2 linked regions of the Neodiprion lecontei genome follow. The protein of the gene in region 2 purifies or fractionates together with the protein of the main gene of each other region. This does not show direct contact. Links are inferred from orthologs where the notes say so. Each region holds a gene or a part of one and is shown on either strand. Other genes may lie near its edges.

Region 1 (4,396 bases), on a different chromosome or scaffold from region 2:
ATGCTCTCTTTCTTTGGAGCATTTTTTTTTATCAATCAGACGTACGGAAGGTATTCATTATTAAACATTCTCCGAATTATTCACATTTTTTTTTTGTTATTTCCAGCATTCCAACAATTCCGTTAATTTGTCATTAATTCACCATCCATCGTTTCAGATATTGCCGTCAAACACAGTCCTCGAGTTGAAACATAAAGTTAGTGAATCATTAGGAATCGCTGTACCGCATCAGAAGTTGATTCATACAGGAAAGGCCCTTGCAGGTACGAATAATCTGCAATTATCATTGCTCAAAAATCATTAAATTTAAATGGTTTCTAGTAATAAACGAGAAATTGCTTCAAATTTGGTTCAAAATATCTTTAAAGTTGATCCTAAAAAATTTCGTCGTTTCAGACGACCAGCTTCTGAGTTTTTATCCAACGATAAAAGACGGTTGCAAGTTAAATTTATTTGTAAAGAAGCAAATTCAAAGTGAGGGTAAGAGTGCTCAAGGTGATACTGGCATCCAATTATTCAGAAGCGAGATGTCAAGAGTCTTGAGGCATTATTATACAGAATCTGAAACACAGTCGATAATTAATGAGTTTATGAAAGACTTAAAAAAGAAAGTAGACGGCTTGAGCTATGACGACTTGGAAAGATTAGCAACGGCTCTGCTTCAGGATCAAGAAAGTACCACTTGAAGAAATTTTCCTTGGATTTTTTTCTGCAGAATACCTTCAATCATTCGTTTGTTAATTTTTAATAAAACTCTGCATCTAGAAAATTTTTAATTGTAAGGTTTTCCGTGCTTTTTGAAAAGTGAATGATGTTTTCTTGTACTGCTCACTTTTACAAATTAATTCTTTGCACTCTTTTTTAATTAATTATTTACAACAAATTTTCTATACATTCGTCCGTTTTACGCATTAATTTCCCTCTCATTTCACAAAATGGCAAACCCACAAGTGGCTGAGACGATTGATTTGCACAATATTTAACAGCAATGTTCAACGAAATTCCATTCGTGAATAATTCATTGAGTTGACCTAAGGAATATTTTAAGCATATGTAATTTCTAATATTCAAGAGATGTAATGTAGCCTCTTCAATGATCGCTCGCTTGAATTGACATTCATCCATCATGTTTAGCTGTTAACTAAGTGCAAGATAATGATAATAATAAAACAAAACTTGTTACGTTAAAATTAATCTATATTTATTTCAATCAGTAGTTACAAATTTCATTGATCCCCAATTTCACAATTATGTCGTTCTTTAATCACAAATTACAAGTCCACCAAATCCATTTGTCTGAAATATCTGGCGACCAGGCAGATAAATAAATTCAAAGCTGTGACATCTTTAGCGTTCTCCTCTGTCTAAAAATAAATTACAAATATTATCCATAAAAAATTTACCTCTCGAAACATTTGCCACTCTGTTTTCAAAATGTATTTTACCATGCTAGCTCTGATTATCGAACATGTTCTAGCAAGCGAGCGTAAGCAGGAACACGTGTCTGGATTTAAAGGTAACTCGAGGGTAGCTAGTAGGGCATAAATCCAGCCTCCGTATGGTTGCGAGATCAGGCCCTTTTCTTCTACTGCTTCGACGAGATGTTCCAAGACTTGTTCGATCAGCGGCTGGTTCATGTTTAATACTAGTCCAAGCAACGGTCTCATGTTGCAGATGTACTCCAGCCAGCCAACCTGATCATCTGCGTCAGGCTGTAATTTGCACAAGGATAAGTGTATTCTGAAATCAGATGTGATCAGAAATTAAATCTTACCAGAACAGTTTGTCGAAGCCTGCGGCGACCCTCAGCATTTTGTAAATTGTGTTTAATCCGGTCGATCTCTAGTCTCACAGAAGAAAAGTCTGCTAGTTGACACTGCTGCCAGTCCAGAGTCGGAACCATCGAAGCTGGAGCCTCGACACATCCTGCTAGCTGAGCAATTGTTTATTACTCATTTCACACATCGTACAAATGATTGCTTTTGCCTGCTTGTTTTGTTTCATTGACTTACAGGCTTTACCGCCACCATGGGAGTCCTAATACGAGCTTTTATATTCTCTGCCACAACCACGTCGTCGCACTGCTGCGCCTCAATTCTAGAAATATTTTGCAATTGCAGTGAATTGTTTAGAGGGAAAATTAGCGTATTGAAAGATGGGACAGGAATACCGACACCACACGCTTGATGTATTCCTCTCCTGAGGATGGAGGTAGCATAAGGTCGAATTCCGCGTCAATTTCGCCCACAAATAAAGCAGGCTCTCTCAAAATATCCCCCATCTTTCGAGGCGAGGTATATGGTTAAAAAAAATTTCGTCGCAACGCGTGCTAAGAATTTCGCATTGTTGACATGTTTTTCCTAGGTTAAATTACGTTTGAATAACGTGAATTCCGTCATCCTTCGACGTATTATCGGTGGTCACATGCAGGAAGACCAGAAACTCGATATCATTTTGCAAGCTCTTGTTGCCATGGCAACGGGTACAATCGTAGTGGCGGCAAAATTGGACAAACGCGTGACGGAAACCCCGGGAAATTTAAAACTGTCTACCTATATAAAACGGTAATCAAAGTTTATTAGTCGTAAATGATCATGATACATTCTTTCCACCACGATGAATGATTCTTCTTATCGTCACGATTTATTCATTACTCTACGAATGTAGACATCACCGGGTGATCTGAACCTTACAACTTTTGGTGAGCATATGGATCTCTATACCTACTGTTATTTTTTTTTTTTGTTTTTCTTTTTTATTAAAATACATAAAATATGTACACTCGGTAGCCGTAGTAGCGACCTATTTACAAAAGAATGTGTGTGAAAAATTTGTTATTGTATGTTTGTCGGGACACAGTTCGATCGGCGCAGGCGTATACTAAGCTAAAAATACTGATAAAAAAACCATATTTAATAATATTCTTGAAATTCAAATTAATTTTAGGTGGATCGACATAATACATATAACATATTTATCGTACGTAGCGTACTAGACGTACATACATAACAAAAATATCTTAATTGTAAGTACAGCAGATCATTGATTGCGTATTGTATTGTATTAATCGACAGATATGATATCTGGACAAAAAATATTTATCATAAAAATCGCTCAGTTTGGCAATTGGCAATCTCAAATACATACGTATGAATCTCCATACGTACGAATAGATCGAATAAGACTGTATATCATGGATTGAAAAATCTGCGTCTAACTATTTTTTCCCGCAAGTATAATATAACCCGTATAATGAATTTCAATTTCTTGTTACTTTCGCGGTGTCTCTTGAGCCGCCAACTTGTTCCAGATCAATACCGTCGTATTCCAAAGCTCCAGCATTGTCGTAGTAAGCGTAATCGTAGTCGTTCTTCTTTTCCGACTTCGATTTTACCGTGGTAGATTCTTGACGCCGATCGACAGTCCTTGTCGTGGATGTGAACGGCCTTGGTGTCGCACTGACGAAATTTCCAGTTCTTGAATTCGGCGTCGTTTGCGACGCGTAATTGGTCGCTGCAGCCGACGACGGCCTCTGAGTTGTTGGGTTATTGTAGACAGTCCTTCTATAACAGATCATCACAAGTTAGACATTAGTGATAAACATATAAACACCTATTCCTTCAATCCAAGCACTTTCAATGAGAAAAATCACCTACCTCGGAACGGGAGTCGTCGCTCTCACGGTGACGGGACTCTCTGCGAGCTTGTTGACACTAGCGGGACTGAATCCGTTGACGGAAGCCGTTCTTCCGCCCTGGTCGAAGTTGTCGAAGCTCTTGGTGCTTCCGTCGAAATTCGTCTTAGATTCATAGTTGTTGTACTGCGTAGCAACCTTCTTCGGGGCTTTCGTAGCCACCTCGCGATTGTACTGTCCGCTGTTATCGTTGGACCTCGAGGTGTCGTAGGTCTGCTCGGTCTGCTGAGTGTTCCTTTCGCGGTACTGGCCGCTGTTCGTTGTTCTGGCGCTCTCGTACTGCCCGGTGTACTGATCGTTCCCTCGATTGATCACCTGGCTTTGGGTGTTGCCATTACCGATGGTCGCTTGTTTCTTGGTAACCGGACTGTAGGTCGTCGGGATGTAGCTGCTACCCGCAAAGCTGTTTGCGAATCTCTGAGTGGTTTGAGTAAAATCTTGCTGTCTGGTGGTCTGAACTTTGTTCGCAATCTGGGGCTCGCTGGTTCTCGGGGTGACCGAGTAGTCGTCGTAGGAGGTTGACGCGAAAGTCGAAGTCTGGAACGTGGTACCGCCGGTGTTCGCTGTTCTCTGAATGGTGTTGTAGTTTTTCTGATAGTAACCGGTGTAGTCGGTCGTCTGGAAGCTCGTGCTGGGTCTTAGGGTCGTCGGTTGTGTTGAGAATTGGTTGAACTGATTGGTAAAAGTCGGGCTGCTCTGGTC
Region 2 (8,250 bases):
TATATACCGTAGCGTCATATTCAGGAACAAAATTAGCCAGCATCAAAGATGCGCAGGTCGTTGCTGTGCCACTTGTACAAAAGTTATCCTTGATCGCTATTGGAATTCCATCGAGGGTTCCTAGAGGCTGACTTTCGGCGTATCTAGCATCTGATTCCTGTGCCTGCAACTCTGCCGATCCTCCGGTCACACAAATATACGCGTTTAGCGGCTTTGACGCATTTGCCAGCTTCACCGCGGCTCTGCAAATCTCGGATGGCTTCAATTCGCCGGCATTCAGTTTGTTACTCACTTGTTTTATCGGTCGTGACAGTATCTTATTCATTGTCTCAGTTTGTTTGTTACTTGTCAGGATTAAGATTGTGTATTACATAACCTCAACTTTTAAACAACCCCGGCATCTCGTGATTAACCACGCTTTCAACAATTCGATATTCGATTCATGAATTTTTTAAATCACGCGTATGATTGCTACACGGGTAATCTAAAATTAGGCGTACGAGGCACGCGTTACACGCGCGAAATTCAAAGTGAGAAAACTACGTTGGATCAATGATGTGTAGTAGGAAAACGAAGAACGTTGAATGTAGAATTAGAATTCGATTTATTTATTTGTCTACCTTTAGTCATGGAAAGCGTGAATATTTTCGACAAATAGACCAATCTCGACTATATCGAACACTAGCTCACATGTCATGGAAAAGAATTTCAGCGTAAACAATAAAGTATTTGGTTCCGGTCTACTGACAATGAGTCTATACGAGAATTTGACGGTGATACTTTAGATGTAACAATAGATAAACTTTAATTCATACATGTATTACATGCAAAGCTGTTACCGTTTGAAGCGACCGGCGCTTTTGCGCGATTGCCTTGCGATATTTCAGAATACATATCTAAATCTATGTCTAATACGAACTTTCTATACAATAATATACACGAATCTCTTCCTCGAACAATATGAAACAAATTTCTAAGGGCACGGAATTTTTCTTCAATATGCTTATACATTTATAGTATTATCGAAAACATACCCATCGAAAGTGAACGCAGATATTGCGCCGGTTTTACGTTAAATTCATCAGCTGCTTGAAGAGTTCTAGATTAGAAAAAGTATTCCTTGAACATACGGAAAATGTTATCACTCGCATATGTCAAATTCAAAAATTACTCCTATACGTTAAATCAAACCTAAAGTGTTCGCGTTCCTCAGTTCTCGACTTTTTATGTTACTACCATGGATATTCCGATACGAAATCACGAACCGAGCTGCTATTACTATATCGCGAATCTATCTTGAAATGTAAATTTTTCCTAAGATAGATTTAATTCATCCATGTACTAGTCAATTTACGAATTGCTTTCACATTACTAGCTATATGACATTCGTTATAACATGAAGTTCGGAAAACTGCTACTATTTTACGACTTAGAACGTATTATTCAATAGTGTACACAATGTAAAAGACTAGACTGAAAGTCATAAAAGAATCGCCACAATATCTCCTCTAAATAAACGCATCATTGTTTTCTACAGTCGGTTATAGTTCAACGAGCTTGACTATCTCCCGTGTTCATAAAATAATCTCATAAAATATAATTCGCGCAGATCAACGGTAACTGTGCCAATGTTAAGTTTAGCGGACAATATACATATTTTGTGCTCAATAATGTAAAGCTGACTTAAAACTCAGTATTATATCTTGATGATCATTTCAAGCTGTATTCGAAAAATACTAACCCTAGATAAATTCGGTTGTTATATATGTATGAATCAATAATCCCTCCAATATTCATACTAGCAATAGTAATTTGTTTGAATGATTATTCAAATAAGAAGTTGTCATATTGAACCCCAGCTGTCATCCGTTTCCTACGCCTTCCGACATACCTCAAATGAACAGAAGCGGTCCATCTAAATGGTTTAATTTTAAACCTTTGCTATTTTTTTCACATTTAACACGATTTCGATCTTTAACATACAAGTAAATCACGATATTTTCACCTGCAAACATCAGATATGCACTATTCAAGTTTTAGCTCAATTTTCTCTTTCAACTTTCTCACATAAAATTGCAGGATATCATAATTTTCGCCATATCTTCACGGATATGACTAAAGACGTCAGACTACCAGCCAAAACTATATTACATGAAATTGAGATCGATATCTCATGATACTTGCCACTGTTACGGTTTTCCGTGATACGTTTTATCGCTCAACATATCTGGTAGTAAATGTTTGTGGCTTGGAAGATTCCTCTTCATCGATAAAACATATTCCTCTAAACTAATGTGTGTAGATCCTCTTCATCTTCGTCAGAAGTAGCAGAGGGTGGCAACATATGTCACATCTTGAATAGATGTGGAAATTCGTTACTGATTTCACGCACCAATTTTTGATCAGATTTACTCTCAGGCAATTCTTCGCAAAATATCCTGTAAGATTGAATAATAAATGCATTTGTTTTTGGAACATTGTTGGTACTTCGTAAAAAAATTTGCCTACTACCCCTGATCAACATTTTCCAAGCATAATACGAAAGAAATCATAGCGAAACGAGCCTAATTTAAAGTACGGAACGAACTGTAGTTCAATACAAACCTTGTGAAACATTTCAACACGTCTTCACACCTGTGACGATGTTCATTGTAGCTTTCAGTTCTCAACACTCTCCGACACAGCTCCAAATACTGTCTGCGTTTCTGTGCAACGACATGTTCCACATCAGGTTACAATATACTACTACATAATTTTTTATTTTTTCATACACCTGGAATTGTTTCATAATATTTATATGTATTTAAATTACCTTCACTCCTGGTGAGATATCAAACAACTGCCGTACAATAATGTCAATCAAGACTTTAATATCGTTGGTGTAAAATAAGTTTGCAGTAACATCATTACTGAAGAGATCAACAAATAATTTGAGTACAGAATGTGGAGGAGCAGGTTGATGATCAAATATTCGTACCGGATCCTCTAGAATAATGGTGAATGCAAGAAGATAAGACGGAAGTTTTTCTTCTCCAAAGAAGAACAAACAATGGATAAAATACGGTTGCTACAGTAGGTTCAATTTGGTGTGAAGCATCAAAATCTCACCTTCTCTATTAAGAAGCAGTAGAATTTTTTCTGTGAATGTTTTTGCCACAGTTCGCAGTTTTAATGCATTTAATACCATGTTTTCCGAAGTGGTGAATTGCAAATTATAGGACAGAACCAAATTCAAAAATAAATCCGGTATTTGATCATCCATATCGGTATCAGGAGGATTTTCTATCAATTCTAAAAGGAATGATATAAAATCTGTTCCCAGCTGCTCTGTAATCAGACAATTATAAAGACATCGCAGATACTGAAACTCAGTGGAAATGAACACACAACGTGGAGTATTCTTACCCAAATGAGTGACGGGCATTGGTTCACCCATTGAGAAGATCATAGTAAGCAACAGCGAAGAATAATTCAGCCTTGGCACATTCCTTGGGTACGTTCTCATGTCACTGTTTGAAAAATACACTATATAAATCGGGTGATTCTATTATGCCTGTTAGCAAGTACGTGTTTAATGGAAAGCACAATAAAATGAAAATGTGTATCGACAAAAGCAGGTTGATACTAATTTAAAAACGATTGACACGGAATCGTTAATATCACATTTCGGCATTAGACTGCATGAATACATTGTTAAATAGAATGGAGTTCAGCAAAATTTCAACTTTAATACTGCATTACAGTAGGAGGACAATTTTTCTTGTCATACCTTGCTAATTCCATTGGCAGAACACTGTTCAACATGATGGTGAGAACTACTGCATCCAAACTGCACATAACACCAAATGATTGCAGAAGCAGTTGCCTAATAGTCCATCTGGGTTCCATTTGGTAGTATTGTATTAATGTCGTTACGCCATTATATTGGTCCGATCTTAATGCATGTCGTGAAACATTTGCATCTGCATTTGTCTAAACAGTGTTCAATGATATGATTTACGTGGCTAACAACGAGGATGTATAGTAAGAACGATTTATAAACATAAATTCCGATATTCTGACGTGTATCACAACACATTTTTATGCCATTACTCTAGTTATAAGTATATTTCAGGTATTAAGGAAGAGAAGTGGGTCAAATCAGAAATATTACTCTAATTATGATGTCTGGTGATTGGATGATTTGAAAATTTTTCAAACTTTTGTGACCTTCATTGGTTGGTTGAAAGGTTCTTCAAAAATACTGAGAGAACTATGCTCCCTGTAATCTTTCTCTGTTCTCTTAATGAACATTTGTAGATATTTTTAAGGTATGTTGTTTACTATCAATATTGAACAAAGATGTAACAAGATAATTAAATTTACCAGAATGGATGTGAGCTCTTTGATGTATTCGACAATAATAGGTTCATCTTCATACAACATCCAACTTCTCTGCTGAGAATCCTCCTTGCAAGAAGTAAGCTCTGTAAAAATAACTTTGAGCCTATTGGCATCGTGTGTTTCTTCAATACTCATTTTTGAAGCAATCAATGGCACTTGAAGCTGGTTCAACACTGCAGCAAAATAATGACTTATACTAGCTGGTAAAAGTTCCTGCAGACCAGAAACAACCACAGCAACTGCAACTTTCGACATTTCGTGACTAAGTTGTGTATTTCGTCTCACTTGATCGAGTAGCTGATAAGCAGCTTTTGAATTAATCTCACATGAAGTTGAGGAGCTGCTTTTTATTGGTGAGGAATTTCCTACAGTGTTCAATGCACTTTGAGAAGGACTTCTTTTCATTTGAATTGGTTCAGATTGGCTAGTGTGAATTGTATCAGATATAGATTGTCTAGGTAGCTGTCTGCGCTGATCGTTTACAGTCGTCCGCCTGCATTGTGCAATTAGTTGGGCGTCTGCAGGATCGGCATCGTAATGAAGTGTAGATTGAGCAGTGGCATAGGACGTATTGCTAGGAGCAGATCGAGCATCGCCATCCGGATTAGTATAGACTGTTTGATTAGTTGTATCTCTTCCTAAGGTGGAAGTCGAAAAAACTGGAGGCATAGGTGCTTGCTTTTTTACTTTTCTGCCAAGCTCTGCTTGTCTCTCCTTTTCCACAAGCCTCATTAGAAGATCCTGCTTATCAGCTTGAACGGAGCTGCCTTGCTGTTGAATTTCGGTTTGCAATTTCTCTATGCATTTCCTCAGGTAATCAATCAAAAATTGAGGCTCGACCTGCAGAGAGAATCGAGTATTAATGACTGTAAAACAAAATAGAGAAATGTATGAATATTCAGAAGACTTCCAGTATCAGAAAAGGAAATACCTTGACCGTAGTAACATAGTTAGATGGTATATAGCCAAGCTGCCCCAAGCTGTTCACAACCTGCCACCAATTTCTCTGTTTTGTATTTGTTTGATACAGTATAAAATGTTCGTTTTCTCGAAAGCTTAGAGTTTTAGCAAAGGTTGCCTTGAATTCGTACAGTGCTTTTAGCATCTCATAGTTTTCTGTGTACAAAAGAAAGAAGGTTATTAGTACAAGCCACAGTCTTGAATATTTGGAATCATAAGTTTCAACTAGTAGAGCATTTGCCATTGACTAACTAGCAAAAACGTGAAAACCAACCGCGTAATCGAGCGTGATAATTTCAGATAGATATGTAAACAGATTCGTGTACGTCTCGTTGTTTGGTTGAAGGACTGGCTAGTTAAGGGATGCGATCTTACCTAACCTGATGTAGTTGTCACCCATCATTTAAACACAAAATATAAATCACGAATTAAAACGAATTCGGTTGAATTCCTTAAGCAATAGAAAAAAATAGATGCAGGTATAAAATACAGACTGGTCGACGAAAATGTGAGAACAGATGGTGATTGCTTTTCACTTTCGTTTACTCTGCTCCAGTTATCATTCTTTTTTTCAACAAGAAACACATAACCTGTTTGTTTACGAAACACAACCCACTCAGGCGCCCACCGACAAACTCGCAGCGGTAACAACGAACTTGCACAGTTGCACTGATTTATGTACCTTACCACGGAAAAAGTCGATGGAAAGAAATGAAACTCTGCCTCAATACTGTGCAATGAACTACAACGTGATATGCCATGTTGAATCGACGCATGAAGTGAAACCCTACGGTGCGAAACGAAGCGAATAGCGTTTCTTCAGTCAACGAATTAGTCAATGGACTCCAAATACGCGCCACGCGGTATCCAATAACATGTAAGAGCTGTTGAGCTTACGTGCATACATATTATACAGAAAAGTAATAATCTATACAGAATTTTGGAGTAATGGCTGCAACGGTAGACCGTGTGTCAAGCCTCGAACCATCTGAGGATGAGATAGAAGCAGAAGAATTAGAGGAAACACTGAGAAAAAGAAAAACGTCAGAACCTGAACTTGGAGAGGTTAAATACAACAAGAAGTTTACCACTCCTCTGAGAAAGAAACGCAGAAATCATTACGACCCGGTAGAAGAAGCCAGGTAAATGAACTTGAACCATGATCTTTCACCTACGAAACAATTCTTCATCCCTTGTATTTCAAATTCAATCACATCTCAATAATTTCCAGACTCGAAAGGCTCGTATTCGGTGACCATATCGACGTCATTAGCAACCTTCTACAAGATGAGCACAATGATTCTAAATCACAGACACCTTTGTCCAAGGTTTCGACCCCTAATGATGAGGTGGACGATTCTGATGACAATGAAGACAATGATGAAAAAACCGATGACTCTGATTTAGATAGATCGGGTTCAGAAGATACAGAGCAAGATACAGATGCTGATTCGGGAGTCGAAGATGAAGAATTGAAGACTGAAAAACAAGCGGCATGGGTAGATGATGACGAAGAAGAAAACCTTTCGTAAGCAACAGACGATAATACATCTAGTGTTGAAAACAGAATAAAATTTGTGTTGAATATATGTTGATTCATTTACTCAACAGCGTTGAAGAAACCTTGCGTCTGCAAGGGCGAAGACTGGCTGTGCAGCGGCCTGAAAAACACTACAAAGAACTGCTACGAAACAAGTACCAACAACTTGTTGGCACTCCTAAGTGGGCTGAAATTAGTGCAAAAAAGGAAACTGGCTCCGAAGAGGATTCAGACGACGAAATATTGCGGGTACTATTTAAATCTCATCAATCATATTATAACCATCGATGATTAATTAAATTATGAAATATTTAGTTTTTCAATTAGTTTTAGTATTGATGTTTCCCTGCTATTATCTCTACAGCACAGCAGTCATTTGATAACACCAAAACCTAAGAATTTAGCACAAGGAACAATCGAGTTGAAAGCTCTAAAAAATATAAACCAAGAAACTCGATCCGAGGGGCCTGTAATAACAAGTCTTCAATTCCATCCAACCTCTACAGTGGCATTAGTCGCTGGATTATCTGGGATATTGTCGATATTTCAAGTGAGTCAAGAGTGATCCACTTTTTAAAAAAATTACAGGGAATCTCAATATTTGCAACCAGAGTAATAATGAAAAACTCGCAATAATTTCATCTTCTATTTCGTCAGATTGATGGTAAACAGAATACAAAACTGCATAGTATGCAGTACCGAAGATTTCCAATAAATACGGCCAGGTTCGCAAAAGAGGGATCAGAAATAGTGGTAGGCTCACAACGCCATGCTCATTGTCACACCTATGATTTATTGGCTGGAAAAACGTACAGAGTACCACTACCACATGGCATGACTAATATGAAGGTACGCAGAAGACAATTGCAAGTTTGCTAGGTCTACGGCGACATCTAATGCTATCCTGGTAACGTTGATTACAGAACTTCGAAGTATCTCCCGATGAGAAATTCATCGCCGTATGTGGAAGAATGGGTAATATATACATCCTGACTACCAAAACCAAAGAACTTGTGAGCACTTTGAAGATGAATGACCAGTGTAATACTTTAGCATTCTCTCCTGACAGTAGGAAACTTTTCACACATGGTGGTAAGTTGAATATTTCTGAAGTTGTAATCAATTTATAATTTGTTCGGAGGTAATCAAAGAAATATTCTTCTCATATATTTAGAGGGAGGCGAAATTTACGTATGGGACATGAACGAGCGTACATGTATGCACCGAGCTATAGATGACGGTTGCTTGTCGGGGTCAAGAATTGCGGTTTCACCTAGTGGGCAATATTTAGCCACTGGAAGTAAACAGGGAGTAGTGAACGTCTACGACACTAGCACAGTCTTAGACAGCACTAATCCCTCCCCATT

Evidence for each region. Proteins that work in one complex are often made in the same cells at the same time.
Region 1: the proteins of NCK-interacting protein with SH3 domain (region 2) and gem-associated protein 2 purify together in Homo sapiens (co-immunoprecipitation; 3 studies listed by BioGRID and IntAct, counting the BioPlex papers as one, with this or other methods). This does not show direct contact. The link is inferred for Neodiprion lecontei from reciprocal best matches to the Homo sapiens genes NCKIPSD and GEMIN2.

Annotation. Positions count from the first base shown.
Region 1 is NC_060263.1:39,235,833-39,240,228, forward strand, and holds gem-associated protein 2, read right to left. Parts: upstream 2,430-4,396; 5' UTR 2,282-2,429; coding exon 2,175-2,281; intron 2,098-2,174; coding exon 2,013-2,097; intron 1,934-2,012; coding exon 1,775-1,933; intron 1,713-1,774; coding exon 1,446-1,712; intron 1,365-1,445; coding exon 1,272-1,364; 3' UTR 1,180-1,271; downstream 1-1,179. Other genes in the region: ubiquitin-like protein 4A, read left to right, coding at 158-263, 397-686; probable cyclin-dependent serine/threonine-protein kinase DDB_G0292550, read right to left, coding at 3,260-3,563, 3,657-4,396. UniProt on the Homo sapiens protein: The SMN complex catalyzes the assembly of small nuclear ribonucleoproteins (snRNPs), the building blocks of the spliceosome, and thereby plays an important role in the splicing of cellular pre-mRNAs.
Region 2 is NC_060261.1:38,347,099-38,355,348, forward strand, and holds NCK-interacting protein with SH3 domain, read right to left. Parts: upstream 6,019-8,250; 5' UTR 5,747-6,018; coding exon 5,719-5,746; exon of another isoform or gene 5,618-5,718; intron 5,500-5,617; coding exon 5,315-5,499; intron 5,224-5,314; coding exon 4,366-5,223; intron 3,973-4,365; coding exon 3,770-3,972; intron 3,510-3,769; coding exon 3,406-3,509; intron 3,328-3,405; coding exon 3,109-3,327; intron 2,986-3,108; coding exon 2,813-2,985; intron 2,774-2,812; coding exon of another isoform or gene 2,766-2,773; exon of another isoform or gene 2,706-2,765; coding exon 2,605-2,705; intron 2,439-2,604; coding exon 2,348-2,438; 3' UTR 781-2,347; downstream 1-780. Other genes in the region: glutamyl-tRNA(Gln) amidotransferase subunit A, mitochondrial, read right to left, coding at 1-325; U3 small nucleolar RNA-associated protein 18 homolog, read left to right, coding at 6,292-6,485, 6,575-6,871, 6,955-7,132, 7,248-7,433, 7,541-7,732, 7,807-7,975, 8,058-8,250. UniProt on the Homo sapiens protein: Has an important role in stress fiber formation induced by active diaphanous protein homolog 1 (DRF1). Induces microspike formation, in vivo. In vitro, stimulates N-WASP-induced ARP2/3 complex activation in the absence of CDC42.